Linked DNA regions of Pelodiscus sinensis. The protein of the gene in region 3 binds, or shares a complex with, the protein of the main gene of each other region. Links are inferred from orthologs where the notes say so. Each region holds a gene or a part of one and is shown on either strand. Other genes may lie near its edges.

Region 1 (10,068 bases), on a different chromosome or scaffold from region 3:
TTGTTTTATCTGTGAATGTTTTCATCATGCTGTTTACTTTCAATCACTGAAACTGTTGAATAACAGTATAAGAACATGTCCAACACAGATTTTTTTTCTGCATCCAATAAACATCTTCCTCCCAATTCAATTCATTGCCTTTTATTTCCATTCTTCGGCAGTGCTTTTCCAGACACTTCTGAAGACATATGAAAATACTCACAGCCAAACCAATCTGGATAGTTACTGTTGCACAATAAGTGCTTTAAAATCAAAACAGAAAAGCATCAAATGAGGAGCTTGATTTTTTTCTTTATAATTCCATGATGCTTACGTTGCTCATATCTCTGCTAGTCTTCGAGAGGTTTATGGAATATTATTTTAATTAGGAACTGACAGATCTTCTAAACAATAATTGCCAGGGTAACACTTTTCCCCTTTTCTGAAAATCAGCAGCACATTTATTTTTCTCCAATCTCTTTCTCCAGGAATTTTCAAAATAATCAGAAATGACTCGATATATTTGTTAGTCATTTTCCATTACACTAGAATGCATGTAATTCAGATGGACTAATCTACCTGGCTACGTCCACATTGGCCCCTTTTCCGAAAGGGGCATGCTAATTTTACAGGTCGTAATAGGGAAATCCGCGGGGGATTTAAATATCCCCCGCGGCATTTAAATAAAAATGTCCGCCGCTTTTTTCCGGCTTTTAGAAAAGCCGGAAAAGAGCGTCTACACTGGCCCCGATCCTCCGGAAAAAAGCCCTTTTCCGGAGGATCTCTTATTCCTACTTTGAAGTAGGAATCCTTTGAAGTAGGAATAAGAGATCCTCCGGAAAAGGGCTTTTTTCCGGAGGATCGGGGCCAGTGTAGACGCTCTTTTCCGGCTTTTCTAAAAGCCGGAAAAAAGCGGCGGACATTTTTATTTAAATGCCGCGGGGGATATTTAAATCCCCCGCGGATTTCCCTATTACGACCTGTAAAATTAGCATGCCCCTTTCGGAAAAGGGGCCAGTGTAGACGTACCCCCTATGTTTGTATTTTCCAAATTCTCTCATACCTACTCTTCATGAGTAACTACTAGGTTCTCATTCTGCTCAACTGTCCAAAGTAGGGATGTTATGTGGGTAACTGCGTAAATCTGTAACTGCTGAAAAACGTAGTACAGGGCTACGTGGCCCGCAGACCATTTGTTGGTGCCCCACGGTGTGGTTTGGGTTCACACAGGGCTCAACATGTGCCCCACGGGTGGGATCCTTTGAAGATGGCCTCCACTGGGAACACACTCCACAATGGCAAGTCAATATAACGATCTTCTGTTGATATGCGTTTTAGTAGTTAAATTCTTGGACTGTCATTGCTCATTAGAAGTGCTGTCATATGGGTGGAAATCGGGTAAATATTGCATTTTATTAACATCAGCAGAACTGACTTAAACGGGGCCTGCGTGTTGTGTAGTCTTGCCTTAACCTTTGTATTCATACCCGTCAGGGTAAAGGAAGCTATTTGCATATATATTTGCATTTAAGTGTTGGCCTTCAGCTTGTGCTGTGAATATCGTCGCCCCAGGGGGCTTCCAAAGTTGAGTAGCCCTGACGTAGCAGTTACATGCACTCACAGCGGCTCCCTGGGAGCCAGTGTGCACCAGGAGCCGGCTGTATCCAAGGCAGCAGTGGAGGATGACAGTCAGTTCCCCAGGACTAGGGTGGGACCTGTGTGTAATCGCCAATGTTAACGTGTAAGCCTAGGCTTATCAGTTAACCATTTACACTGTTATATGTTCACAACCCTAGTCCAAAGCTACCTGATATTACTTGTTAGAGGTTAACTGCAAGAAAACTGAATTAAATATATTTCTATGCTGAACTTTTTCAATGGCCACATCCCTTAAAGTAATTCTTGTCCATCATTATATCATCATCCATCCAGTACACCTTGGATAACCATGCTATACTCTAGGATGCTTTCAGTCTATCAGAAAGTTCCAAGAGGCTTCCAAACAACAGGAAATATTTCTTTTAAAGTTAAAACTGCTTTCAGTGCAAGATAAAGCTTGGCTATTGAAGGTCACATAGAACAAAAATACCTTTAAAAAACTGCATAGCATTATGGTAAGATGGGAGAAAGTTTAAGACCTCAGCCATTTAAAACTAGCCTCAATTTCATACTCATTTAATGCGCCTGCTTCCAGTCTAACACTACTATTTCTCCCAGGATAGCTACAAAAGCTTCTCACGTTTCTCTTAACATCCATGACACAACTAAAACTCTATTCAGCACTGTTAACTTTTAACTAAAGGTTTAACTTCTGGCATAATCTTATTTTGTAACTTCCCATCTTTTCAGAACAGAGGTTTACTGCCTTCAAATTTTTGTTCAACCCTTTGTGAGACCACACTGGCAGTCTCTTGTTCTTAGCATTTTGTTCCTGGAAAATAATCAAGACTGATTGCCGTTTTCTGTCTAAGAATATCTAAGCTTCTTCCATGATCTCAGACATATCACTTCCTTAGCATTTTCATCTTCAAGGAGCTGAACTTGCTTCCATTATACCCACCTGTCCAGATTTCTTAACTCTCCAATATTTGCTTCTCTAAAACCTAACAGATTTGGGCCACTGCATTCATGCTCTTTATTACATTTAATTCAATGTACCGCTCCCTAGCTTCGCTGTTATACTCTCAATCATTTTCTCACTGCAAATCCAGGATACGCTTTTGTGTGCATGCGCCTACAGTCCCAGAAAACCTCTAGTGGATGCCCCACACAGCTCTTTTGTGGTTTCATTTCCTGCCTCCTACCCTCAAGTTTTGTAAAAGAAGATGGTTAGGTTCTCAATCTGTTGTATCCACCACTTCCCTCTTCGCCAACTCCACGGATGTCCCTGGCTTAAGGAATGCTTCAGCCCAACAGGCAGCTGCCCGCTTCTTTCTCCCTATTGCCCACAGACTGCAAACCAACCGAGCACGAACTCCAGCTGCAAAAAAGTGTCCCCTACAGATTCCATCCAGGGACCTAGATCACAACTTGGCCACCTCACCCGCTCCTTCCAGGCTTCACAGGGACTGTGGGGAATTGTAGCACCACCCTTCAGCACCTCAATGCTCCTGGGCTGGCGCACACACCCCATCACGTGCCTTGGCCACCGGAGACGTACAAGCCCATCGGTGCCCCCTTGCTGCCCTCTTCCCAGCCTCGCCCTCTCGGGAGCGGAGTATCCTTCACAGGGGGGGGGGGCTTTTACAAACAGCTCCCCCCCCCCTCGGCTCCCAGCCCCCCCCCCCCCCCGGGTGGGGCTCTCCCCGCCGCTCACCTGGTTGAACTCTTCGTCGGCGTAGATATCGATCAGATCCACCCCCTCGGACATCTTGGCAGCGGCGGGAGCCCGGGGGCGCAGGGAGGGAGGCAGGAGGTGCACTGCGGGGAGAAGCGGCTCAGTCACACGGGCCGGCCATGTGCGCCCGGCCTCGATTGACCCCCCCCCAGCCCTCCGCCGGAACGCCTCACTCGCCCCCTCCCCCCGCCTGGGCCCCCCCCGTCCTGCCCCTCCCCCCACAACGAGCAGGGGCCAGGCCCGGCTCCTCCAGGCCTGGCGGGGGGGGGGGTCCTGCCGCCGCCGCCCCCCCTCCTCTGCGGGCCCGATCCCCGCTGCATCGAGCCCCCAGGAACCCCTCCCCCCCTCGGCCAGGCCGTTACCGCGCGGGGAGGGGGGGCAGCGTTCCGAGCAGGCCCGAAGCGCGCGAACCGCTCACCGCCACAGCCTGCGCCGCTAGACCACGCCCCTTCCGCCGCCAGGCCACGCCCCTTCCGGCCCGCCCCGCCGGGACCGGAGGGAGGGACCATAGAGAGGCCGAGGTAGCGCGGCCGGGCGCAGGCAGCGGAGATGGCGGCGGCAGGGACTCGGGTAAGCGGGGCGGGCGGTGGCGGGGCTGGGGGAGGAGGCGAAGCGAGGCCCGGCCCGTGACGCGCCCCCCTCTCTCGGCAGCTCCTGGCTCTGTCCCGGCGGCTGCTCCCCGCCCGGCGCGGCTACCGCGGGGACTCCCCGGCCGACTCGCGCGCCGACCTGCGGGCGCTCCCCCTGCCGCCCTGGCAGCCGCGCCCCGGCGAGCCCCTGCCGCGCAAGCGGGCCCGGCTCCTCTACGAGAGCCGCAAGCGGGGCATGCTGGAGAACTGCCTGCTGCTCAGGTAAGCGCCCCCGGGGCTCCCGCCGCGTCCCCCGCACAGACCCCCGCAGGCGGGGCGTGGGTCTGCTGTACACGCAGCAGGAGAAACCTCAGGCTCGTGGGCCTGGATCCGGCCCCCCAGGCTCAGGGCTCCCCTCCTAGCACTGGGGAGCTGCAGCACACACAGTCTGCAAGCCTGGGTCCTACTAGGCTCTGATGCGGGGAGGGTCTTTCTCCTTCTCAGTCGGGGGCCACGTCAGTGAGGGTTCCGGGCTTGGTTTTTTTTTGGTTTGGCTTTTCACTTCTATGCAGCACCCAACTGACTTTCTGTAGGTCAGCAGCCCCTGACCCCAAAAAGGTTCCCCGCCCCTGTTCTACAGCTTCACCTGAGAGCCAGCTGGCTTTTAGCTCAAGCTGTGGTCGCTTGTGTACTAAGCTCCAGAAGACCCAGGTTTGGTTCAGTCAGCCGGCCTTACACCTACTTGAGGGAAGAGGGGCATGAGAGTCTCCTCCTCCCCAGCAGCTCTCCCGGCTTTGCTTGCCTCTACTGGGCTGCTCCATTCCCCACAGTGGGGAACCAAGGTTGCCTTTAGGTTCGGTGACACTTCAAAAAAGAGCTAAATAAATTCATGAGGAATATTAGCCAGGACTGGCAGGAATGGTGTCTCTAGCCTCTGTTTGCCAGAGCCTGGGAATAGGTGACAGGGGAGGGATCACTTAATGATTTATTCCCTCTGGGGCACCTGGCACTGGCTGCTGTTGGAGTACAGGATACTGATCCAGTGTAGCTGTTCTTAGTGATCTGGAGATGGCAGTGAGGTGTGAGTCACAATGTACAGATGACATGAAGTTACTAACATTAGTCAAGCTGCAGGGGGCTGTGTGGCACCTTTGCAAGACCAAGCCCTGTTAAGGGAATGGGCAGCATAGTGGCAAGTGAAATTCAGTGCTGATAAAATACTCCGGTGCCATCCCATAAATCAGTAGTGCAGCCTCAGCTGTTTTAAAAAACACAGTAGGAGAACCAAAAAAAGTGCCACCTTGCTTAACAACCAAGTAAAAGAAGCAGTGACAGATAAGACATTTTTTATAAAGTAGAAGTCAGATCCTAGTGAGGAAAATAGAAAGGAGCATAAACTTTGTCAAATTAAGTGTAAAAACATAATAAGAAAAGCCAAAAAGGAATTTGAAGAACAGCAAGCCAAAAACTCAAAACGTAATAGCAAAATGTTTAAGTACATCAGAAGCAGGAAGCCTGCTAAACAACCAGTGGGGCTCTTGGATGATCGAGATGCTGAAGGAGCGCTCAAAGATGATAAAGTCATAGCGGAGAAGCTAAATGGCTTCAGTCTTCACAGCTGAGGATATTGGAAAGATTCCCAAACCTGAGCCATTCTTTTCAGGTGACAAATCTGAGGAATTGTCCCAGACTGAGGAGTCATTAGAGGAGGTTTTGGAACAAATTGATGAACTTAACAGTAACAAGTCACTGGGACCAGATGGCATTCACCCAAGAGTTCTGAAAGAACTCAAATGTGAAATTGTGGAACTATTAACTGTGATTTGTAACCTATCCTTTAAATCAGCGTCTGTATCTAATGACTGGAAGATAGCTAACGTGATGCCAATATTTAAAAAGGGCTCTAGAGATGATCTTGGCAATTACAGACCGGTAAGCTAGAGTTCTTTGAGGGGGTCGACAAACAGTGGATGAGAAGCTGGATATGAGTCAAGAGTGTGCCCTTGTAGCCAAGAAGGCTAATGGCATATTAGATTGCATTAAGAGGAGCATTGCCAGCAGATCCAGAGATGTCATTATTCCCCTTTATTCGGCTCTGGTGAGGCCACATCTGGAGTACTGTATCCAGTTCTGGGCCCTCAATTACAGGAAGGATTGTGGATGCATTGGAGAGGGTCCAGTGGAGGGCAACCAAAATGATTAGGGGGCTGGAGCATATGACCTACAAGGAGAGGCTGAGGGAGTTGGGTTTGTTTAGTCTGCAGAAGAGAAGAGTGAGGGGGGATTTGATAGCAGCCTTCAACTTCCTGAAGGGAGGTTCCAAAAAGACTGGAGAAAGGCTGTTCTCAGTAGTGACAGATGGCGGAACAAGGAGCAATGGTCTCAAGTTGTGGTGGGAAAGGTCCAGGTTGGATATTAGGAAAAACTATTTCACTAGAAGGGTGGTGAAGCACTGGAATGGGTTACCTAGGGAAGCAGTGGAGTCTCCATCCCTAGAGGTGTTTAAGTCCCAGCTTGACAAAGTCCTGGTTGGGAGCTTCTGTTCTCTCTGTCTCCTAACAAACAAAGGGGGACAGTCAATTACATGGAATGATGGGAAGTTCAGAGCTGATAAAAGGGAATCCTTTTTTCACACATTGCCTATTTAGCCTGTGGAACTCCCTACCATGAGAAGTTGGTGAGGCCAGGAACATGGTAAGTTTCCAAAGCATCTGGACATTTCCATGCGCAATTAGAATGTCCAGAGTTGTTATTTATAATAGATGTTGGCAGGACTATTAAACTTTTCAGCTACAGGGTCAAACAGAACTTTAATAACTAGAGATTGGCTTAAGGGTAGATTATCTGCCTGCTCCTGGCCCTGGCCAGTTTAGTACAGGATGCTGTGCTGGACAGACCCAGGCTGTGAGCATGGCACTTCCTATGTTTCTAATGCTTTGTGTCTTCTCTCTTGCCTCATTTAGCCTCTTTGCAAAGGAGAATCTGAACAGCATGACTGAACAGCAGTTGAACCTCTATGATCGCCTTATCAACGAGCCCACCAATGACTGGGACATTTACTACTGGGCAACAGGTACTGTCTTGCAACAGGGCACGCTTCACAGGAGGCAGCATGGCCTAGAGCAGAGGCGGGCAATACATTTTAATGAGGGGGGAGGGGTGCGCCACTTTGAGATTTTGGAAAGTAGTCAAGGACTGCACTTCTGTGAACGGGGCACGGTGTCTGGGACAGCAGGTGGAGAATAGAAGGGAGCTTGGGATAGAGGACTAGATTGCAGGAGGGAGTGTGGGGTCTGAGAGGGAGTTTGGGTGAAGGAAGGGATTATAATCTGGGGCAGAGGTTTAGGGTGCAGCAGAGGATTCTGGCCTGGGGGAGGAGTGGAAGGGGAGTGTGTGTGCAGGGACTGGGAGAGAGTTGTGACCTGAAGGAGGTGGGGAAAGGGGATACAGGGGGTTTAGGTGATGGCCTGGGGCACGTAGTTGTGGGAAGTGAGGGGTGCCAGAGGCAGCCACTGGCTGGGGGGCGCTTACCTAGGCGTCTCCCAGCCAGCAGCCCTGCAGACTCCCTACCTGTGTGCTGCGTGAGCTGCTCTACGTGTGTCTGCACCAGCCTGGGAGGGGGAGTAAGGACAGCTGCCCAGTTTTCAGCAAAATTTTTTGGCTCCTATTAGCCAAAAACTGGCCAATGGGAGCTGGGGGATTTTGTTAGGGGCGGGGACAGTGTTGGAAGCTTCCTCCTCCCTGCACAGCTTGTAGAGCAATTAGCTGCCTGCTCTTTAAAGCAGCTGCTCCTGTTCTGTAGTAAGGGTGCTGGCGAGGCAGCTGGGGGCCAGGTACAGCAGCTTGGCTCACCCCTGGCCTAGAAGATAGAGCAGTGGACTGGGGCTCTGTTCCAAAGTCTGCCACAATTCTGCTAGGTGACCTTGGACAAGTCTTTTCCTCTCCCTGTACCTCATGTTCCCAATCTATAAAATAGGGATGAGGATATTAACCTTTGTAATCTACAAGAGCTAGGTGGTGGTATAGCTGGGCCGTGACTCCTATGATGGGATGGAGCAGGAAGCTTTCTGGGGTGATGAATGTATCTCAGTTGATCTAAACTCCACACCCAGCGTGGATCAAAATGGCAGCCACAGTGATTCTTGCTCAGAAAATGCCCATGGCTTCCAATCTTCATGCTTTAAAGTACAAGATGATCATAAGATGGGGGCAGGAAGGAATTCCCCAGTACAACAGGAGAAGTAAAACCCTGCAGTAAGTGGCTGCCATCTGAGATGGGTGTCGCTAGGAGAAGTGGTTAGCTGCTCTGACCTGAGATCCCATGGTGTTTGGTGAAGCAGGCTTGAAAGAGGCACTGCAGTGTTAGAAGGGTATGAGACTGGCTTCACTGTGACTCCTGATAGGCTGCACCAAGCATAAAGATGCAAAGCTGATGACTGAAAAGTGGGGGTGGGGGTGCTGCATCTCATCCTGTGTCTTTTCTCCCTAAAGAAGCTAAGCCCACTCCGGAGGTGTTTGAGAATGATGTCATGGTGATGCTGAGAGAGTTCACCAAGAACAAGAACAAGGAGCAGAGACTGCGGCAGCCGGACCTGGAGTATCTCTTTGAGCCCCAACACTGAGGCACCTCCAGTCAGCTCTGGGATCCTCTTCTCACCCCTGGCAGCAGAGGCTGAGGTGTCTCGACCTATTTGGCAAACTGCAGTGCTGCTGCCCTGGCTCCTGGAATCCTCCGCCGGGTGCCTGCTTCTCCCCCGATTTCCAACCCCCACCAATTAAAGTTGCAAACACTGTCCCTGACAGTGGGAATGTATATGTGGATTTGTCCCATTGTTGTGCAGGTGCAGCAGTTCACCCCAGACAGTGGCATTTTATGTATATAGCTTCTCTCGCATCTTGGTGCAAGAGAAATAGAAGATGATCACATCATGACAATGTGCTTTGTCTCATTGTGAAATTCCTCTTGTTCACCTGTGTGGCCTCTCTGATGGCTGCAGCCTCTCCGTTAACCATTCCTTGTAAATCCTTGTGTCCAGGACCCTCCAATGGGGAAAATCAGTGTAAAGAGAGAAAACAGACCCACCCGGCCGAAAGAGTATCCACTGCTCCCTCTTCTCCAGACTCCAGGAGGGGAGCAGCAGTGCCATGCCATGACAGTAGCAACAGATCCCACCTCAATCCTGTGTGAGGTTAGCGACCAAAATATGCAACCGATCCCATAGGCTGAAAACGGTTTGCTTAACTGAGCACTTTCCAAGAGTGTAGGTGATTTTGGGTGGGTGGGGCAGAAGTGTCTAAGGGTCGCAGTTCTGTGCCAGGTCCTGTTGTGCAAGGACAGAACAAAATGGGCATTTCCTGTCCCATAGAGAGAGAGTTTCTTGGCCTCTTCCCCCCCGCTGGTGCTCAGATTGTGTCCTTAAGGTAATGGCTGGTGTGGGAAAGAGCCTAGGAGGGGTTTGATGAGTTTAACTTGCTGTGTATCAGCTGGAAAGGAGGAGGAGCCAACACCTTGTAACCAGTAGATCTCAGCTACTTGAACTGCTGTCCCAGGATAGCCTGGCTATTGTGTCTCCTGTGTTATCAGTAAGGCCCTGTTGAATCATGGTTTCAGGGACTGTATGGGTATATCTACACAGCAAAGTTATTTCAGGATACCAGAGGAATCCCAAAATAGCGGACGCGTTCAAAAGACGGGTAGCTATTTCGAAATATAGTGGATGCACTATTTCGCTATCCCTGTAAACCTCATCCTACGAGGAGTAAGGGATGGCTTGAAATAGCACTTGATTTCAAAATTTGGCACTGGGTAGGCAGCAGCAAATGATGAAATAAATAAGCTATTTTGAAACAGACTCGAAATAAGCTATGCAAATTACATGTTATTTTGAGTTTCGGGTGCTGTGTAGACGCACCCTATGGAAATTGTGAAATTAGCCCAGTGCTGTGTTTTTGCCAGTAGGGAGGGAGATGGAAGTGGACTTAGGACAGCTCACAATAATGGGGTGTAGGCTGGGCAGGTTTCATCAGATGCCACTGTACATCCAGCCCAGGCTGTAGCTACAGTTGCTTGCTTGGCCAGCAGGGAGAGGGGGGCAGTGACAATGCCCCAGTCTGAAGCCCTGACCCAGCAGCAGGCCTAAGGGAGACACCGCAAGAACTGAGCCACTGGGTGCACGAGTGGAG
Region 2 (9,653 bases), on a different chromosome or scaffold from region 3:
TCCACACAGTTACATAAGTACAAACCCTCTGTGGACTCTTTTTTCAGCATGAAAGTATTTCAGCTTAATTTAAATCAATTCCCAATCAACTTAACTATACTGAAGAAAGCATTCATGCTGAAATAGGAGTGTTTCTACAGAAGTTTGCACTGGTTTCACTGTATCAGTTTAAATTCACGCCTTATGTTATCCCTGGGCAACTTTCCCATATAGACAAGGCATAAGAGAACAAACCAGTCTTCTCCACCTGCTTACTTCATGGTATATCACTCCCATGTATTATATAATGTCACCAAAATGACTAAATGATTAAAGCATATGTCTAATGTTATCTAAATATTCTCTGATAAGCATTCTTCCGTTCCTTTTCTATCTACCACTCAAATAACATCTATTTTTTTACAAACACAATCACCTATTTCCTCTCCACCTATTTTGTTTCCCCTCTCTGGCACACATCAACCTCCCCCTGCTGAAAGATGTATTCAAGGACCTACTGCAGGGCATTAGTAGCTCTGCAGATCTGGAAGTGTTTGGGAGATGGCTGCTTTATTTAATTTCTCATGCTCTAGGTCAGGAAAAAAACCAACAATCTGGGGTATGGTGACAGGAAATTTGTCAGAGCCCATTTGATATAAATACAGCTAAGTTACAGAAAACTGGATTAAGAACATGACATGAATTTGGTAAGGGCACATACATAGGCTTTTTGAGATGAATGAAAAATGAGGAAAAGCAAGAACTATAAAAGTAAACAGATGAAAGCCAGTTGGCTGTATGCAATACAGGAAAAAAGGAGATGTGTCTCCATAAACAGGCAAAAGCAGTTGTTAAAGTATATGCCCCAAGTGTCTCAAGACTGGATCAACTCTCACCTTCAGGAGACCCATTGGTTTCTCTCTTAGTATTTAGTTATTCATTTTTGCATTCTGCAAGAAAATGCAGCGCATATTTTTACAGTTCTCTTCCCTCTGGATGATAAATTTGCCACATATTAATTTCTCCTACTAGATGACCTTGCACAGGGCAAGAAATTGTGCTTGCTCCCTGGTTTCTTTCTCTATCTGCAGACTGAGGATTTTCATGCATGTGTTACAGAATCTAAATTAGGCAGGGCTCGACAAACCATACAATCTACTTGCCCGTGGCAAATAGATTTCAGCCACGAGCCCTGTTCATTCGTGGCGTGCGCATGCGCAATGCGGCTCTTGCACATGCGCAGTACGGGGCTGGCAAGCAGTTTTCACCGCCGTTTGTCAAGCCCTGCTAACAAGGATATAAAGTCGGTTAAAAAAGATGAAATTTTTTAAAGTCTGAAAAATCTTAGTTACACACACAGCAGGCTCTGCAGTATAAACTTTAAATAAAGCCTTCTCCCCAAGCAAAGCCACTTCCCCGGGAGCAGAGTTGGCAAGAGCTGCTGGTGCCACTCCTGGGGAAGAGGCTTCCCTGCCACAGGGGTTGGTCCAGGGAATCAGCATGTAACCTGGGTCCAGGGAGTCAGCATGTGGCAGTGGGCTGGGCCCGCCATGGACAGGGGTTGCTCCAGTCATCCAGAGCAGCCCCTGCCTGTGGTGGGCCCCACAAGGATGGAGCAGCCCGCTGCCCATCCTCCAGTCCCTATAGTTAACTGGAAGTAAGCATTACCCATTTAGTGTGACGCTTATCAGTCAGCCAGTTATCTTTACACATCCCTGATCTCTAACTCTCTTAGATGCTGGTAGGATTCATGTGTTTTATAGAATTTCAAGGGATAAGGTGATTTCCAATATAGAGATGCGAGATATTTTCCTGTGTGTTAGTGTCTCTCTGGAGTTGCTCTTTGTGTGTCCATCGTTCTCCGGGGATACACAGATGGGAGTTAGTGGTGTGTGTCTCCTCAGGTTGTGAGTTGGTCGGGGTTTTGCCGTCTGTCACAGCCTCTATTCTCAAACAGGGCCATGCTCTGGGTGTTATACTCTTCAGCAGTGGTGGGCAATATGACGGTCACATACAGCCCACTGGAGTTCTATAAGTGGCCCGCTAGACATTTTGTTTCCTGTTGCCCACATACAGGGTTGTCAGATTCCACTGGTTTCCATTGGTGGCGGGGGTGGGAGGGTTGGTTGTGTGTGTTCTGTAGCAGTATTACTAAAGTGACATACACATAAAGTAACAGCATATGAATTGATGTGCATGCTGATTACAAGCTACGGATGTCAACATGTAGTCACCTATATGATTAACCAATTAGCCTAGGCATATTAGTTAATCTTGTTGACTACATGCATTTCCACCCACCCTCATTGCTGCCTCTTTGTTAGAGGCAGCAAGAGTGGGGGGAGAGGGATGACAGGAGCTGGTCCTGGGGGGAGCCAGATTAAAAGGCAGTTCACCCCAGCACAGTGCTGCCTTCCCCCTCACGCTGTTGCCTCTATCAGTGGCAGCGGGGGGAGAGGCAGCCACAAAGCAGTCTCTGTCCGTGAGGAGCTTGGACCCCCTATGGACAAGGGCTGCTTCCAACCCGTGCTGCTACCTCTGTATCAGAAGTAATGGAGAGGCAGGTAGCTGTTCTGCGCGGGGGGCTGGTTTTTAAGCTGGCTCTCCTTGCAGACCAGCTCCCCCAGCCACCTCTGATACAGAAGCAGTAGTGCAGAGTTGCAGGGGGCATCCCAGGAATGGGGCTGGGAGCACACTGGCTGCCAGCCCCACCCCTGGGGACTATCGAATAGTTGTGTAATCATTAAGATTTTATGCAATTACACAACTATTCAATTACCTGATATCTGACATCGCTAGTTTGCATGCAGGATTTTGAGCTGGAGCAAGGGTTGGGGTGCAAGAGGAGTTGCAGGGTCTGGAAGGGAGCTTTGGTCCAGGATCAGGTTCTGACCTGAGGTAGGGTATTGGGGTGCAGAAAGGGATGCGAGGTGCAGGCTTTGTTCCTGGTCGGGAGATACATACCACTGGTGGCTGCTGGATGACAAAACAAGAGGATGCTGGTGCCGCCCTAGACTGTGGCAGAGGAGGGAGGACCACTCCTCCCCCCCACCCGGTCTCAGCCTTTAACCAGTTAACTGGTTAAGCTGGACTTGGCCCGCAGGGTGTATATTGTTCATCCTGCTCCAGTGTGTTAGTCACTTCACGCTCTCCTCAGGGATATGGAAGAGTTGCTTTGTGTATAATCTCTCAGGAGATACAGAAATGGGACAAAATACTGGTTGTGCAATACTGTCTCTTCAGGGGGCTCTGGAGATGGGGGGGGAGTTGCTGGGTGTGTGCTACAGCACCTCAGCGTTATGCGGAGACGGGTGCTGCTCGGCGCGTCACAGTCTCTCCCTCGCAGCCACCCCCACCAGGCAGAGGCGGGCAGCGCTACGAGGATCGGGCCGCCGGGCTGCGGGTCTGCCACAGGCCGCTCCCGCTCTCCGGGCCGAGTCGTGTTGCCCCCGTCGGAGCGAGCGGCGCAACCCCCGCCCGCCGGGCCCCCAGCTGCCGGGCCCCGCGCATGCGGCCTGCACCAGCGGCCTAGTGCTCCGCGGGAAACCCGCGCCCGGGCGCCTGCCCCAACAATGGCGGCGGCAGCGCCGCCTCCTCCCCCCCGCGCGGCCCCGCGCCCGCCCCCCCGCGCGTACCTGGCTGAACTCCTCGCCCACATCGGCGTAGATGTCTATGTGGTCCACGCCGTCCGCCATGATGCCGCCCGCTCCTCGGGCCTCCGCTGCCCGCCGCGCCCGGGACTAGAGCCGCCGCCGCCGGGGAGGGGGAAGCCGACGTCACTTCCTGGAGGAGAAGGGAACTTCCGTTTGCTGCACCCGCTCGGTGCCGAATCCTCTCCCCCGGCTGCTGCTCTAGCCCACCCAGTGCGCCTGAGCCCGCCCCGGGCGGGGGTCTCACACAGGCTGCCGCCCCTCCCGCTGCTGGCAGCTTCTCAGCGCCGCAGGCCAGGGAGTAGGTGTCCCCCCCCCCCCCGCAGCGGGGTTGCTCTTTGGCCAGGCTCCCCCGCTCGTTGGGGGGTGCGACTGGGGCCCCATTAAAGGAGGATGTGTCCATTCAGCAGCACTCGCCGGCCCCAGCTTGGCACCCCATGGGCTGGAGGGGTGCCTCGGCTCCACAGCATGGATCGAGCTCGTCACAATCATAGAGCTGGAAGGGATCTCGAGGTCATCGAGTCCAGTCCCCTGCCCTCATGGCAGGACCATGCACTGTCTAAATAAGTGGTGATTTATATGAATCCATGGTTCATCAGCGTTCAGGACCAGGGGCCAGTTCCACCAGTGTTTGGGCCTATGTTTTTCAGAGCCATTCCATCCATAGGGCAGACTAGGGCACCAGCCCTGAGTTCTAGCCAGAGATCAGAGGCAAGGGCTTGCCCTGCTCTTTGCATGCTGTGGCTCCACATGGCTCTCGGGAGTAACAGCATGTCTCCCCTCTGGCTCTGATGCGCAGGGGCAGCCAGGGGGCTTCGCACACTGCCCCCACACACCATACTAAGGAAGTTAAAATGCAATTATTAATGTCCTTTCTTGCACAAGAATCCGCAGACCATCCACACTGCCCGCCCGCTCTTGCGGAAGAAGATTTAAAGTACAGCGTGGTACGAGAGCACTTCTTGCACAAGAGCTACACTCTTTTCTAACAGGTGTAGGCCCTCTTGCACAGGAGCTCTTGCGCAGGAGGGCAGTGTGGACGCACGGCAAGGATACCTTGCGCAAGAAAGCCCTATGGCTAAAATGGCCATCAGCTTTCTTGTGCAAGAGAGTATTCACACTGCCATGGATGCTTTTGTGCAAAAGCACATCTCGCACATGGCAGTATGGACGTGTTCTTGTGCAAGACTTCTTACACAAGAACCCTTGCGCAAGATGTTCTTGTGCAAGAACCCACCAGTGTAGACATAGCCTTGGAGGCTACCAGGGCAGGCCCATACATGAGGGAGGGGGGTGAAGGGTGCAGTCCCCCAAGTAAGCATACTCTGGCCAGCCAGGGGAAGGCTGAGGCTGATTTCCACGCTTACTTGTGGGACAATAGGGAGTGCGTTCACACCTTTGTGGTCCACATTTACAAAAAAAGCACACCTCACAGTTATTTCTGCATATGGGCCTGCAGGGGGCCTGGCACTAGCAGCTGAAAGTGACCCTTGCCACTCTACGACACTCAAGGAAGAAGACAGAAGACAGAAAGAGGCAAGGCGGAGGTTTGCAAGAGGGAATGGAACAGATGGGGGGGGCGGAGGGGAGGGACAGGAACCAGAATGGGCTGGGAATAGGTTGCTCACTGCTGCAGTGCCAGGATCCCTGCTAACTCCCAGGCATTCTGGACCCTGCATTCTCCTAAAGTGAAAGGCCTACAGTCCATTCTATGAATTGACATGAGCAATCACTTGAAGAAGAACATTCCCTGGCAATGAGTTTCTACTGCTTATTTCATAAGGTGACCGTTAGTTCTTGAGTTATGTGAAGGGCTAAATAACATTTCCCTATTCTCTTTCTCCATACCACCCTTAGGCTATATCTACACTTGCGGCTTCTTGCACGAGTAATATGCAAATGAGACTAAGCGTGGAATATTGCCGACCCTCATTTGCATACCTAATGAGCCACCATTTTTTTCAGAAGAGGCTCTTGCGCAAGAAGGAGCGTCCACATTGCCCCTTCTTGCGCAAGAAAAACCCTCTTGCGCAATGCCGTTCTTCCTGAAAAGTAATAGGTGTAATGGCATTGCGCAAGAGGGTTTTTCTTGCACAAGAAGGGGCAGTGTAGACGCTCCTTCTTGCGCAAGAGCCTCTTCTGAAAGAAATGGTGGCTCATTAGGTATGCATTGTATATGCAACATATGTATATTATGCAAATACAAATGTATACTATGCTGCATATTCAAAAAAAGGAGTCCTTTTTTCCCTTTTTACCTCTTACTGAAAACTCGTTAATATTCCTCAAGCAGTTGTAAAGTCATTGTTGGCTAGAGCCTCATTTCTAGAGTTGCTATCTGTCTTGTAGAATTCTTATATTAAGTGGAACAGCTAAAATATTTCAAATACATTCTAAACTATACCAGAGTTTCCTGTTTACAGGAACTTCCAGAAGGTCTACCCCATCCAAGAGCTCACAACTTTACCTGGAAAAAAAATTGATTGATATGAGTTTACAGATAGATAAAGACAAATAGAGACCTAAAAACATGCTCAATGGGATCCTAAGTAAATTTAGAGGATGGAAACATTATTGAATAAAATTACTCAGAAGTGTTGCAGTCAAATTTTCTCATCTTAAAATATATTTTGACCAAGTAGCAGGGGGAAAGTGAAGGATTTGCCATGACATTATATTTTAAGAAGTTCCTGAAGTATTACGATTCAAATGCAGTGAAGTAATTTATTTTTGTTTGATGAAAAGCAGATCTAATACCTGATATTTCATACAAAGACATAGGTGCAGCACTTCAACTCTTTTTAACCTTTTTTTCCATCAGGCCAAACTGGAGAGAGTGCAGAACTATAGAAAATACACCAGTTCCTGTGCTAATAAATTGACAAGCAAATCATCACAGATGCTGGGATTACATTTAGCAGAGTTTTAGATACATTTTGGCATTTTAAGTGTTGATTTTAATGATATTTGACTAGAAGAGCATGGAAATAAATGTGAATGGGAATGCCATTCTGCTCTCTTTAGGAACATGGCCCAGATAATTCTGCACACCATTGCAGTGCTTAACTCTGAGGTAGTTTGCTATCTAGTGGAATCCTCAGCCCCAAATTGGGCACTCAGGCTCCTCATTCAACTATTGGGGAAAGCAAGGTGTCTAGGAAAGAAAGCCTGAGAAATCACCAAGCTAAAGGGAGGGGGGCATTGGGGAACAGCCTAAACTAGTCAGAGGTGAAATTCTGAGAAAAGAGGTGGAGAGAGGAGACGTATATATGCTCCTAGCCAGGTTACCTGGGTACTTGTGGCTGATGGGCCAGAAATAGGCACTTCCCTCCACTCAGGCTCCTCAGCCAGAGACCCTCTGCTGGAGTTAGACACATAAGCCAAGTCAGCCAATTAGGTGGTTCTTGCCCTAGTAGCCAAAACCATCCCTTTCTCAGTCTGCTGTTCAGTATTTCTTTCATGATTTGTCCCATTTCCCTGTGCTCCCAACTTAGCCTTTTATGTGACTGCTGTGCTGTCTCTGACACCTAAAGGTAGACTGCAGCCCTCCTGCTGTGGGACTTGACAGGCATCAAGTCTTAGGCTACCCCAGAGAGTGCCTGTGGGATCAGGTCTTGCTGGCAAATACGCAATCCTCTGGCTAGTTTGAGAATCCTGCCTAGGGGCCTCCTGGGCTTCAGTGTAAACTAATCGTCAGAGCTGCTCATTAGCTGTGGGGTGGTGTCAAAACTTCGGTTGCTTAGCAAATGCCAACTGACAGAAACTTAGGCTCCTATGAGACTGAGATGCATATGGGGTTAGGCAGCAGCTAAACAAGGATTTTGAAAATATTAGTGGTGCCTAAACAGTGGATGAAGGCTCCTAAAGAGACAGACAGGCACCTAAATACTTATGAGGATCTGCATGCTTCTGATTGACAGGTGCCTCTGTAGAAATTGGAGAGCCCTAAAGTGGGTCTTTGAAGAATCAGGAAAAGTGATCTCCCTTCCTTTGGCCTATGCCATAAGGAAGATGGTTTAATAAGGCTCTCAGTGCCCTTTGTGCTGTGTTTTTATATTCCAGAGACATCCTATCTCTTTGTAATCTGGTAAACCTCTCAAAATTGTTCAGAGAGTAGGCTTACCGTTTATAATAGATATATGGTATGTGTAATACTTGTTTTGATTCTTGTATAAGTAATGTTATGTTGAAAGTTCATATTGTAAACTTACTTAATGTGAAAGACTCTACACATTATTCAAGCTCATCTATTAATTTCCTGTAGTAGTCTGTTTTTTCTTTAGTAGACACCATGAAGATTTTTTTACTGTACTGGAATATTTAAATTCATTGAGTTATACCATTATCCCTTCCATAAGGCACTCTTATTCGAGTGATTGAGGGAGGGGTATCTTAAACACCTTCCAAAGTAAGATGCACTAAGCATCAACATGGGGAGTTATATTGGTATAACTATCTCAGTTTAAATTCACACCTTAGCACTTAGCTTATACCTGTATGACATTCCTGTGTAGACAAGCCCTTGATTGCAATGTAAATCTTATTTTTTGAGGACAGCCATCCTCCATTCCTTGCACATTGCAACTTTCATTAATTTCATTTCAAGTTTGGGATGTGCAATTAAATAGATACAAGGCCCTTAAGGCAACAAGTATAAAACTTTATTTCCTTATAATGGAAACTCAAAATGGTTAATCACTTATGTGATATGATTTTTTTCATTCTCACCTTTCCACTTTGCAACTATGGTAACATTTCATCATATAACAGAAAACTAATAATAACACCTATATAGATGGCCAGTACAACGCAAAGAAAAAAGTCTTGAATTCTTTGTTGACCTATGGAGTTGCTATCAATTCATCTTAGTAATATATAAAAAATAATAGATCAGCCTCTTTCTATGAAAGAATAAAATAAAGACTTATTTTTAAGTTTCCCTTCAAAGCAGAATCTGGAAAAGATAAAATCTGAGGACACTCTCACTTACGATCTTTTTTCTGCTTAGAGAGCACTTGGCTAATTGTTCCAGCTTACATTTTAATCCAATTTTAAGTGATATAATAATTCATAACAAATAAAACAAACCAGTACTTTTATTGTTTGTGTAGCTCATCTAATAGTTTTATTTTCTTATTACATGATACTAGGAGATTTACCTGGTGTTGCTTGAGCCCTTAATTTTTGTTTTTCTTCGTTTAAATCATTGCTCAAGGACGGGGCTGGCTCTGAGGGGAAAGAAGACTACCCCAACCCCTTACACCACAGCAGCTTGGGGCCAGGTGAGAAGCACCTGTCCGTAGCTACTGCAGCTGCAGTGAGCACAGCCACAGGAGGGATGTATGTCCCCAGCTGGGGCAGATTCAGGTTCATCTGCCCCCTGTGCTCCCCAACCAGAGCAAGGAATTCAGTAAACTATGTACTTCCCTTGTTCTCTGCTGAAGGGGAACAGTGAGATATGTTCCTGTATGAATTGGGGGGAGAAGGGAGAGCTTTGGTCCCCTCCACCAGGTCTGGCCTTACCATGAGGCAAACTGAGGTGTCTGCCTCAGGTGCTAGACTGTGGGGGGGCGCCACTAGGACCCAGAGTGTAGAAAATTGCATCTGCTACTGGTAAATATGTATTCTCTCTGCTCTTGATGCACAGAGATGGTAGAGTGCCATGAGAGGAGTAGAACAGGAAGAAGGCAGAATTGAGACCTTTCAAAGTTTTGGCCCAAGCGAGGAGGCGTGGGGGCATCATTTGAGCTCCCTAATTCAGGTGCCAAAATGTTATGGGCCAGCCCTGCCTCCACCCTTTCTAAATGCCACATGAGGGGTAGGAGGCTTGGGGCTAGGGCAGTTCTGGATTCGGGTAGTGCATCCCCAGCTAGCCCTTTTCCTGTGCCCGGTGATACTGTCTCTTTTCTGTATAGTTTTATGAGAAGCAATCCCATTCCAAGCACATCCAATTTTCCTGGCCCAACCAAACCTTTATCTTGCTTTAAGTTCTGATAAGAGGAAGTTATACCGAATTTGGCGTTC
Region 3 (9,348 bases):
CCATGGAGAGGTGCTTCTCACCTGGCCACAAGCTGCTGTAGTGAGAGAGGGCTGGGGTTGTTCTCTCTCCCCAGGGCAGCCTGCATACAGAAACCCTCATCCTTGGCCCCTACCACAGAACAATGATAAAAATGGAGAAAGAGAAAACTTATTTAAGGACCCAAGCAATGTTGGCTAAATCTTCTAGCAGCATACTATGTGAACTACTAGAAAGAAGTCAAATGTGAATCACTGAAGCAAACAAAAGAATAAAAATGGTAAAAAGGCTATGTTAATGTTTTGGCCAAAAACATTCTAGAATGAGTCAAAATTCAACTGCTGTAACAACATTCAACAAAAAATGAAGAAAATATACCTCTGTCATTAAACGTTTGAGTCCTTCTACCTCGTCTTCTCCTGGATTGAGTTCACCACCTGGTCTGTGAAAAATTAATGATGAAAACTAGTATTCTATATTTTATTTACAGATACCCTTAAACTTATTAATGAATATGTCTCACTTCAAACTTTTACGGATTTACAAACTCATTTTCAAACTCTTTAGTAGCCAGAGTCCCAACTCTCAAATATCACTTTGCTGGATTATTACAATTTCAACACTAAACAGGATAGCATGCATGACTACTACAATTTTTTGAGAGGACCTCATGATGTTAGAAAAATGCAAAAATGAGGGAGGGGTAAGTTTGACTTCAGGCATTGCTCCTGACTTTGTTTTAAACCAAAAAACAACACTTGAAGAAGTGCACAAAAATAAGAAGATAAGTTATCATGAGGGGATAATCCTGATTTGGAAGTCCAGATAACCCAACCAGTCATTCCCACCTTTAATTCCGAAGATTGTGAAATTTACAAGAATTCATCTACTTTCTCTTTCCATAACAATAAAAGCACAGAAAGGAAACTTATCATTTATAAGCAACTATATTTTTAAAATTTAAGGTCAATGATTTAAGGTGCTGAGTGTGTTTATACATGATTTATTTTCATCATGTCCCTTCATTCAGAGACAATAATAATTACTGGTGACAAATTCTAAAAGCATCAATATACATGTTGATGAAGTCTACTATAATGAAGGCTAGTCGTCAACGCAGCAATAGATTATCATCAACTTTCTGCAGGGGATGATACAGCATGGTTTGCCATATAAACAGCAGCAACTGCTGGAACACACCCTTCGATCCATGATTTCTTAGTACAGATGAGCAGCCTATATATTTGCTGTTCAACTAATCTGTTATTTGGTAATGCTCTGTGATTCTACTAAACATTACTATAATGTCAAGTTCCAACGATATACACTTACAGTTTGAAGAAAGTTGTACCTAGCTGCAGTAGTAGCACATGTGGCAGCCTATGCTCATGTACAATCAGAACTCCCTCTACAGTCCGCCTCATTCCAATCTTGTCAAATTCTTCCCTCATGCGCTGAAACCGGGCTGCAACTGAACTATCTTTCTCATAAAGGGGCTCCTTTGTACCAAATGTATAATTTGTAAGTGGATACCTAGAAGATAAGTCACATGTTACTATATCATGAAGACTAACCCAGATCTCATGAGCACAACTGCACAGTACATCCTGAGGGTCAGCTACCGTAGTATAAAATTAGCTATCACTGATTTCAAAATATTTATAAGATGTGCACACATATGCTCCCTATTCTCTTCTGGATGCAATTCAAGGTACTGGTTATAATCTATAAAGTTCTAATTAAATGATTTGGGCTCCACTTACCTGAAAGGCTGTCCCTCTGCAATTGCAAGAGTAAACCACTGGCTCACACTCAGCTATTCCAAGCCTTAAAGCTCTCCACAAATAGCAGCAAGACACTCAAGTAGAGAGCCTATATCTGTGACCTCCTACTTGATCTCTGCCTGAGTTAGGAGAGTTCTTAAGCTTGTGCTTTCAGAGTCTGTTTGACAGACTTTTGAATAATCATTGTAGTAGCAGGGAATGAGTTTGTTAATAAGCAGGGGAAGTTCTCTTATATTTGGTTGATCGGTTCTTGATTTTTATTGATTTGTGCAGATGCTTTGATGCAAGATACTAATATGCATTTCTAAATAACTCATTTGAATCTGATAACTATTAAGGTCATTATAAACATTTCACTTGAAATCTTTTTAGGTGTTTCTTTTCTAAAACCTTAATCTTAGAGATAGCTTCCCAAATTCAGTGCTAATTTGGAATTTCTCCCCATCTTCCAGTACAGAGTATCAGAGCCAATTCTCATGCATGCTGCTATTCTACAAGCATCTCTAGTTTTAGAATATCTTAATGAACATCCTCTCAATTACAGGTCTCTTGCTTCCTGATCAATGGTGTCTTTATTATCTTTATTACCAGTCTCTTGTATTTTCTCCTCTTTATCTGTGGCTTTATGATTTCACCACTATTTTCTTCTTCTACTTAAATTATTTCAGAAATCTCAAATTATAATTCCTTCTCTAAAATAAGATTATATTTATCATAGAGAAGCGCTGTCCACTTTATAAATGTGTGATATTCCTTAATCTGGATCCAAAAAATTTGACTTGTACTAATAAACACAAATTCAAAGAGTTACAGCTTCTTGCTAACAGACTGTTTCCCCTCAACAAAAATCCCTGTAGATTAACATTTTCACTTTTAAAATTAGTTTTATCCATTTGGGCTTCAAAGTAGGGATGTAAAAGAGTAGTTGAGTCATCTTCTTACTTCCCCCCACCCTCCACCTTGGGGATGGAGAAAACAGGAGCCAGTGCTGGGAGAAACCATCTTAAAAGAGGCAAAGGCAGCAGGGAGGTGTGAGGGGTAGAGGAGGCTTCTCTGGCAGCAGAGCCTTGGGCTAGCCACACCCTGGGGCTGCTGGACCTGGTAGGAGCAGGGACTTAGCAAACAACAAAGAGTCAGGAAACACTTAGACTGATGAAATATCTAGAATTTGTTATCATGAGATTCTTCAAAGACAAAGAACCACTGTTGCCCTCATTGTTTGATAGGTAGGTAATGACCTAACCATCCAGTATCTTTGTTTAATCCAGAGGTGTGAGAATTGAACTTGCAAATGAGCTTTATTATTTGCTAATTAATGGTTCTTATCTGCCCCCTTTGACTATCTAGTCTTTAGGTACTTATAGACTCAGCTTTCCTTTCATATATTTTTTACCTACTGCCTTTTCTTGTTACCTCCTCCTCCCAATTTTCACTTCTTCTCCCCCCCCCCTCCCCGCCCATTCATTTTGGTCCTAGAAATCCAACACTCTGGTCATCTGAAGAAGTGGGCGGTGCCCACGAAAGCTCATGATCCCATCTACATGTTGTGTTAGTCTATAAAGTGCTACCAGACTATTATTTGTTGTTTTTTTAGTTTATCTGTACAGACTAACTCAGCTACCCCTCCCCCCCAAAAAAAAGCTCTGAGTGTGTAATGGTTAATTGTGGAGTACTGAGTATTACATTTGTTTGCCATTACTGCAACTTTGTAAACTTATCAAAGAAGAAAAAACTAAATGTGATGTCCACTGTAAAGCTAAGCCTGCTTCAATAAATGGCCCACTAAGGCAATCATTGCATACCAGCACTTGCATGTTACTTAATACAAATCAAGTTGCATCCTACAGCTTCCAAACATCCAAAAAAGGTACATATTTGTCCTGTAAACTCAGTACACGCTGAACAATGAGCACATATTGGGTACACACTTTTACATCCTATACACAAACTCAAGACACCACAGAGGTGGAAGGAATATAAACCCTCAGGAAAACAGGTGTGCAACTCTCCTAACTCAGCAACCCCCTTATTTAATCTCACTTAGATAGCAGCGGTATATTTACACCCCCCGTTGACGGTCCTAATGCCTCTCCTCACAAACTGAAGGTCTCCTCCAGGTAAAGAGCCTGCTCCCATTAAAGCCATCCCAGTTAGGCAGAATTCAGTCCTCTCCAGTGTGAGCAGATAGTGGGATCAGAAGGGGCCTCCTTCCCTCAGGCCCTCACCTCCAGCCTGAGGTGAGGGGCTAAGGCACAGGCAGGAGCAATGGGGAGAAAGGGCTGTAGACGGCCCTCTCCAGAGCCAGCAGCTCCGAGAGTTCAGGGTGTTGCTCCCTCCCCGGAAGCCGGGGGAGATCTAAGCCCGGGGCACGGTGAGGGTCTTCCACAGGAAGGGGGGGACGGGGCTCGCAGGTGGATGTGGGGAGATTGGGGGAGGGGCTGGGGAGCTGAGGGAGGGGGGGGCCGGGCCGGGGTCGGGGAGCTGAGGGAGGGGGGCTGGGGAGCTGAGGGGGGGGCCGGGGAGTTGAGGGGGGAGGGGCGGGCACTCACAGGTTGATGGTGCGCTCCAGCGTGAGCGGCTTGGTCTGCTGGATGTACTTGTTCCCGAACTGGTTCACCCCGCGGGGCCAGCCGGTCTGCGAGCGGTTGGGCGGCACCACGGACATGATGGCGCAGCGGCAGGCGGGAGGGGCTAGGTCACTGCTCGGCGGCGGGAGCCAATTCCACCATTAACATCCCCGCGCGCCAGGCCTCACACCCCGCCAATGGCTCCGCCGGAACCGACCGGGCGCGCGCCGGAAAGGGTAACCATAGAGACTGGCGCACAGAGCGCCTGGACCATAGAGGACAGCAAGCGCGCCGCCACCCGCCCTACGGCGCACGCGCACCACTGGCGGCTTGTAGCCTCGCTCCCCTTGGCTTCAGGGCCGCGCTCTTCTCGGCTCATTCCGATTGGCTCCCTGGGCTGCGCGAGCGCTGCTGGGAGTTGTAGGCCCCGCGGGGGTGGCTGTCCCCGCGCGCTGGCGGAGCAGAGGCTGTTTGACCATGAGCGCGAGCCGTCGCGGCCCGCGGGCCAGGGAGGCCCCGCAGGGCGGGCCGGGCAAGAAGCGGGGCAAGCGGGAGGTGCGCGGGGAGTTCTCCGCGGCTCTCAGGGAGCCGGCCCTGAAGGAGAAGGCAGCGGCCGCCTGGGGCCGCAGGGAGCCGCTTAGCCACGGTACCGATTCCCGGGGCCCCTCCCCCACTCGCTGAGGCGCCCGGGCCTGGCCTCCCCTCTCGGCCCCCGCGGGCCAGGGCGGCGGCGAGCTCGTGGGGAGCCCGAGGCGGGGCCTGGCCTCACCGTGTCTCGCTTGCTGTCTCCAGAGGCCGTCGCGGTGGATCCTGCGCCCTTCTGTCACTGCGTGATTCCCCGCTTCATCCGCAGCCCGGGCTTCCTGGACGGGCTGCACCAGGAGCTCGCGAGCCTGGATTTCCGTGAGAAGAGCAACGACTTGTACAAGTTCAAACAGGTGCGCTGCCATGGTAGGCCCGAGTGTGTCCGCACCGATCTCACAGCGCTCGCTGTGTGTTCATAGCCCCGGTCTGTGCTTGCAGCTATTTGTGAATTCAGACTGGCTCCATCTCACTTGTGTCAGTGAAACTTCTGTCGTTCCGGAGGGTGCAAAAAACACACTTCGGACCAACATTAAGTTTCACCAGCAAAAGTGCTGATGTGGACAGTGCAGCTACACAGGAGACCTTACAGCAGGGGTGTCTAAACTTTTTTCAAAGAGGGCCAGATTTGATGAAGTGAACATGCGTGAGGGCCGACCATTTTGCCTGACATTCTTTGAGCCATTCAAATTAAATGCAAATTAACTATTTTATGCAAAGTTTATTGCAAACGGCATACTTTTCATTTCGTCACATGGATGACAAATCTAAACAGGTGTTAAATCACTCTGCCTTTCATATCTGAAGGCCAGATGAAAAAAAAATCCAGGAAGCTGAAATATATGTCAGGAACATTGTAAAGTACATTACATATTATTGGTAATAAAGGTTGTCTGTCAACTTTTAAGTTCAAAAAATATGAACAGGAACGTAACACCAAGTATACATGTTGTGTCCAAATATATTTATAACTGATTTAGACCAACTGACATTTTACAATGTATTCATCTCAATACATATGGATTCGTTGGGGGCCATAAAAGATAGATATTGCCAAATTACCTGTGGGGCCGTATTAAACCGGAACACGGGCCGCAATTGGCCCGCGGGCTGGACTTTGGACATGCCTGTCTTACAGCGACACTGCTGTACAAATGCATTCATGTTTCATAGATCTAGGATAAGCCTCATGACACCTGGACCAGTGTGTGTGGCTATCATAGCTGATAAAGTTGAAATGTGGAAATAAGCAAGATGACATGCCATGGTTAATGTTGTCAAAAGCTGTCACTAACTGTTGAGAAGCGCTATTTTAGATGCCTAACTTAAATGAATAAACCCTGGGAAAATGCTTAAAATGTATAATTTTGCACAACTATGTAAAATGTAAATCTATGTAATTAACAAAGTGTAAAGCAAATGCATGTTGGAACTATTTTTATAAGAATTTATTCAAGCCTAATTCTGACCCATGACTTTATCTGGTTTGTAGGGGATCTCAAGTTAATGGCAAAGCTGTGAGTGAAACTCCTTGACACCTATGTTTATGCTGATCATATGTCCCATTTTTTTCAGGACTATCCTGAATTTAAATGATCTGTCCCAGTGCCCCATCAAGTAGAGAAATGTCCCAGAAAGCCCCGCTGGACATTTCACTACTTGATGGGATACTGGCGCAGCAGCCTCCTCCCCCCAGCAGGGCATGTAGGGCTACTGGGCCAGTTTCCAGTGGCCCGCCCTTTCCTCTCTCCCTCCCCCCACAGGACCGCCTCTGCTATGCAAAGTCCTGGTCCGGCAGCCCCACCTCCTTCTCCTCCAGGCCGCCTTGGAGCCTGGCAGGAGCCGTGCAGAGCCTGGCTGAGATGCTGCAGGGTGAGGGGCGCTTGGCTCGGCAGGTGCCATGACAGGAGCAGGGGCCGCCTGTGGAGCTATTTTTAGTGCTGCAGTCCAGATCATGGTTGGTGGCCCAGCTCCAGCTGGAGTCAAGCAGCAGTCATGCAAGGAGTATTCTGGTGAGACTTCCCCAGATGGAACGTGCCTCGTAGGGCTGCCACTTGGCTCCAGCTGGAGCTAGGGCCGACCACAGAGACTGTACTGCGGCACTAAAAATAGCACTGTGGGCAGCCCTGGCTCCAGTTGGAGTCAAGTGGCAGCCACACGAGCCATGTTCCAGCTGGGTCTCGCGCAGATGCCGCTGGACTCCAGCCGGAGCCAGGGCTGCCCGTGGGGAATGGACTGCGGCACTAAAAATAACACTGTGGGCGGCCACAGCTCCAGTCCCGGCAAGTGGTCCGGCTCTGGGAGCATCTGGGGCTGCGGGGACTTCTGGGGCTGGTCAGCAGGCTCCACCCCCACAAACTGGAAGGCAGAAGCTGAGGGAAGGGGCAGGGAGAGAACTAAGGAGAATGGAGGAAGGGACTTGTGCTGAGGCAAGGGGGGGTACGCCAGGAAAAGAAAGGGGCAGGCACCAAGGGGCAGGATGCAGGAAAGAGAAATGCCAGGCCAAGAGGAGACAGTGAGGAAAAGGAGGGAGGGGAGAGGCAGGGTGATGCTGGGAGAGGAAAGGGGAGGGACCGTGGGGGCAAGAGGGAGGGAGAGGAGGAGTGAGTGCTGGGAGAAGAGGCATTTAAAGGCGCGATGGACCTGAGGAAGGCAGGGGATGGAGCAAGTCGTGTGAGGGCACAGAGGGGAGTGAGGAGAACTGGGGTAGAGGGTGGTGAGGGAGTGGGCACCAAGGAGAAGGAGGGCAGGGGCAGGGGGGAAGGGAGAGGCACCAGGAAGGTATGTAAATATGATTAAGGAAGATCATTCTTCTTGGGAGGTGTTTAGGTGTTGTGTTGCTTGTCTGCCTGTACCCATATGAGCATGAAAGAGTATTTAATGATGACTTTTGCAGAATAATAGGTGCAGACTAACTTAGGAGAACACAGGTTTAAACCTAGATAATAGACACTGGGGGCAGTGTCCCCTGCTCGCTCCGCTCGTCAACCCTCCTCTCTGGGGGCAGGCAGCCCTGACTTCCCACCCCAGAGCTCCGGGGAGGCTGGGGAAGCCACGTGGCTGCCACCCTGTCCCCAGGAGCTCCAGGGAGGCCACTTAGCTGCTGCCCTCTCCGGCATCAGAGAGGCTGGGACCCTCAGCACCAGTATGGGAGTGAGGGAGGAGGCTGGGTGGCTGAGGAGGGAGGAACTGCAGGACGCAGAGTGACATGATGGCATCACTCTCTCATCCTGCAGGAAAAACTTACACATGTAGAAAGATTAGTAATCCTCTTCTGCTTTCTCCACCCTCTGGCACGCTAAAAATTGGCTGTCCCTCCATCTCTGTCGTCTGAAAGAGAAATCCCTATGTGTATATCCTGTACAATGCTGAAAGTAGAGGCTCTTTTGAGGTGTGGTAGCCGTAGAATACAGATACTCCCCTCCCAAGTGCAGACATTTCCTTGGCAAGTCAATGACTCAGCTTTAATATCGAGTGTTGGACCAGTGCCCTGAGACCTTTAACTTGCATTGGTGAAGCTGGCATTGTGCCCTAGTAACTTTTGGGCTACTTAATTCGCCTTTTGCCTGCAATGGCCCTCTGCCATCCATTCTGCACTCCGGTTCCTGCAAGAGCTGTAAATTACACTGATGATACTTATAGACTTATTTAAGTTCTGCCCTTATTTATCGCTGCAGCTGTAACTTAGAGCAGAGTCCAAATTAATAAATTGTTCTTATTTTCCATGCATCTCCTTAGTCTGATGATCTGAGGAAGAGGAAAGAGCCTTACATCTCAGCATTAAGGTAAGGTAGTTCCTAGAAATCACAGCAAATCATTAGGCACCCTTTTCTAGAGGTCTGAAAGGAACAGGGCCAAAAAATGAAAATAATTTTGTGAAAAAATTCATGATTATTTCTGGTTCAGGGTGTTCAAAATCTTAAATGTTTCATGATTATATTTCTGATATATTTGTGAGTTGGGACTCTTTTTTAAAGAGATAATTATTAGAAGTTTTTATTTACCAAAAATAGTTTTGGTGACCCATTTGGATACAATTTTTATAATGTTTCCAGTAAACATGTCAGAAGAAAAAATCAGACAAAAGCACAATAAGTTCATGAGAGAGCAAAAGCTTATAGGTTAATGCTATAGACTACATGCATTTCCCTCCCTCCACCACTAGTACATTTTTTAGCAGTCTGGCCAGCAGCCCAGCTCAATTCCGGTTTGTGCCGGGTCTGGGAGCTCAGACACCCCCTCTTCCCCCTGGCAAGTGCTGCTGACACCCCACACGGCTGCCTCTTTATCAGAGGCAACAGCACAGGGCAACAAACAGCTGGTCCACAAGAGGAGCTGGTTTTTAAACTGGCTCTCCTTGCACACTAGCTCCCGCTTGGCACCCTGTACTGCTGCTGGCCCCTCCCCTGGGGACTATAGAATAGTCCACTAACCGATA

The links.
Region 1: the proteins of NUDT21 (region 3) and CPSF7 are in contact, whole or in part, in a crystal structure (PDB 3N9U), measured with the Homo sapiens proteins. The link is inferred for Pelodiscus sinensis from reciprocal best matches to the Homo sapiens genes NUDT21 and CPSF7. Residues at the interface, in NP_008937.1 of Homo sapiens: Arg68, Asn152, Glu154, Pro156, Tyr158, Tyr160, Pro162, Ala163, His164, Ile165, Thr166, Lys167; in NP_001129512.1 of Homo sapiens: Trp91, Trp92, Thr93, Thr94, Asp95, Gln96, Glu112, Lys114, Phe115, Glu117, Asn118, Arg119, Ala120, Asn121, Gly122, Gln123, Ser124.
Region 2: the proteins of NUDT21 (region 3) and CPSF6 are in contact, whole or in part, in a crystal structure (PDB 3P5T), measured with the Homo sapiens proteins. The link is inferred for Pelodiscus sinensis from reciprocal best matches to the Homo sapiens genes NUDT21 and CPSF6. Residues at the interface, in NP_008937.1 of Homo sapiens: Pro151, Asn152, Glu154, Pro156, Tyr158, Tyr160, Pro162, Ala163, His164, Ile165, Thr166, Lys167; in NP_008938.2 of Homo sapiens: Trp90, Trp91, Thr92, Thr93, Asp94, Glu95, Lys113, Phe114, Glu116, Asn117, Arg118, Ala119, Asn120, Gly121, Gln122, Ser123.

The regions. Positions count from the first base shown.
Region 1 is NC_134714.1:125,563,955-125,574,022, forward strand, and holds the start of CPSF7 (cleavage and polyadenylation specificity factor subunit 7), read right to left. Parts: upstream 3,860-10,068; 5' UTR 3,826-3,859; coding exon 3,735-3,825; exon of another isoform or gene 3,679-3,734; intron 3,400-3,678; coding exon 3,296-3,399; intron 1-3,295. Other genes in the region: SDHAF2 (succinate dehydrogenase assembly factor 2, mitochondrial), read left to right, coding at 3,866-3,886, 3,968-4,167, 6,849-6,958, 8,377-8,507.
Region 2 is NC_134711.1:63,705,448-63,715,100, reverse strand, and holds the start of CPSF6 (cleavage and polyadenylation specificity factor subunit 6), read right to left. Parts: upstream 3,772-9,653; 5' UTR 3,675-3,771; coding exon 3,615-3,674; intron 1-3,614. UniProt on the Homo sapiens protein: Component of the cleavage factor Im (CFIm) complex that functions as an activator of the pre-mRNA 3'-end cleavage and polyadenylation processing required for the maturation of pre-mRNA into functional mRNAs.
Region 3 is NC_134722.1:44,117,859-44,127,206, reverse strand, and holds the start of NUDT21 (cleavage and polyadenylation specificity factor subunit 5), read right to left. Parts: upstream 4,583-9,348; 5' UTR 4,427-4,582; coding exon 4,311-4,426; intron 1,511-4,310; coding exon 1,310-1,510; intron 420-1,309; coding exon 356-419; intron 1-355. Other genes in the region: prolyl 3-hydroxylase OGFOD1, read left to right, coding at 4,806-4,974, 5,121-5,266, 8,649-8,695. UniProt on the Homo sapiens protein: Component of the cleavage factor Im (CFIm) complex that functions as an activator of the pre-mRNA 3'-end cleavage and polyadenylation processing required for the maturation of pre-mRNA into functional mRNAs.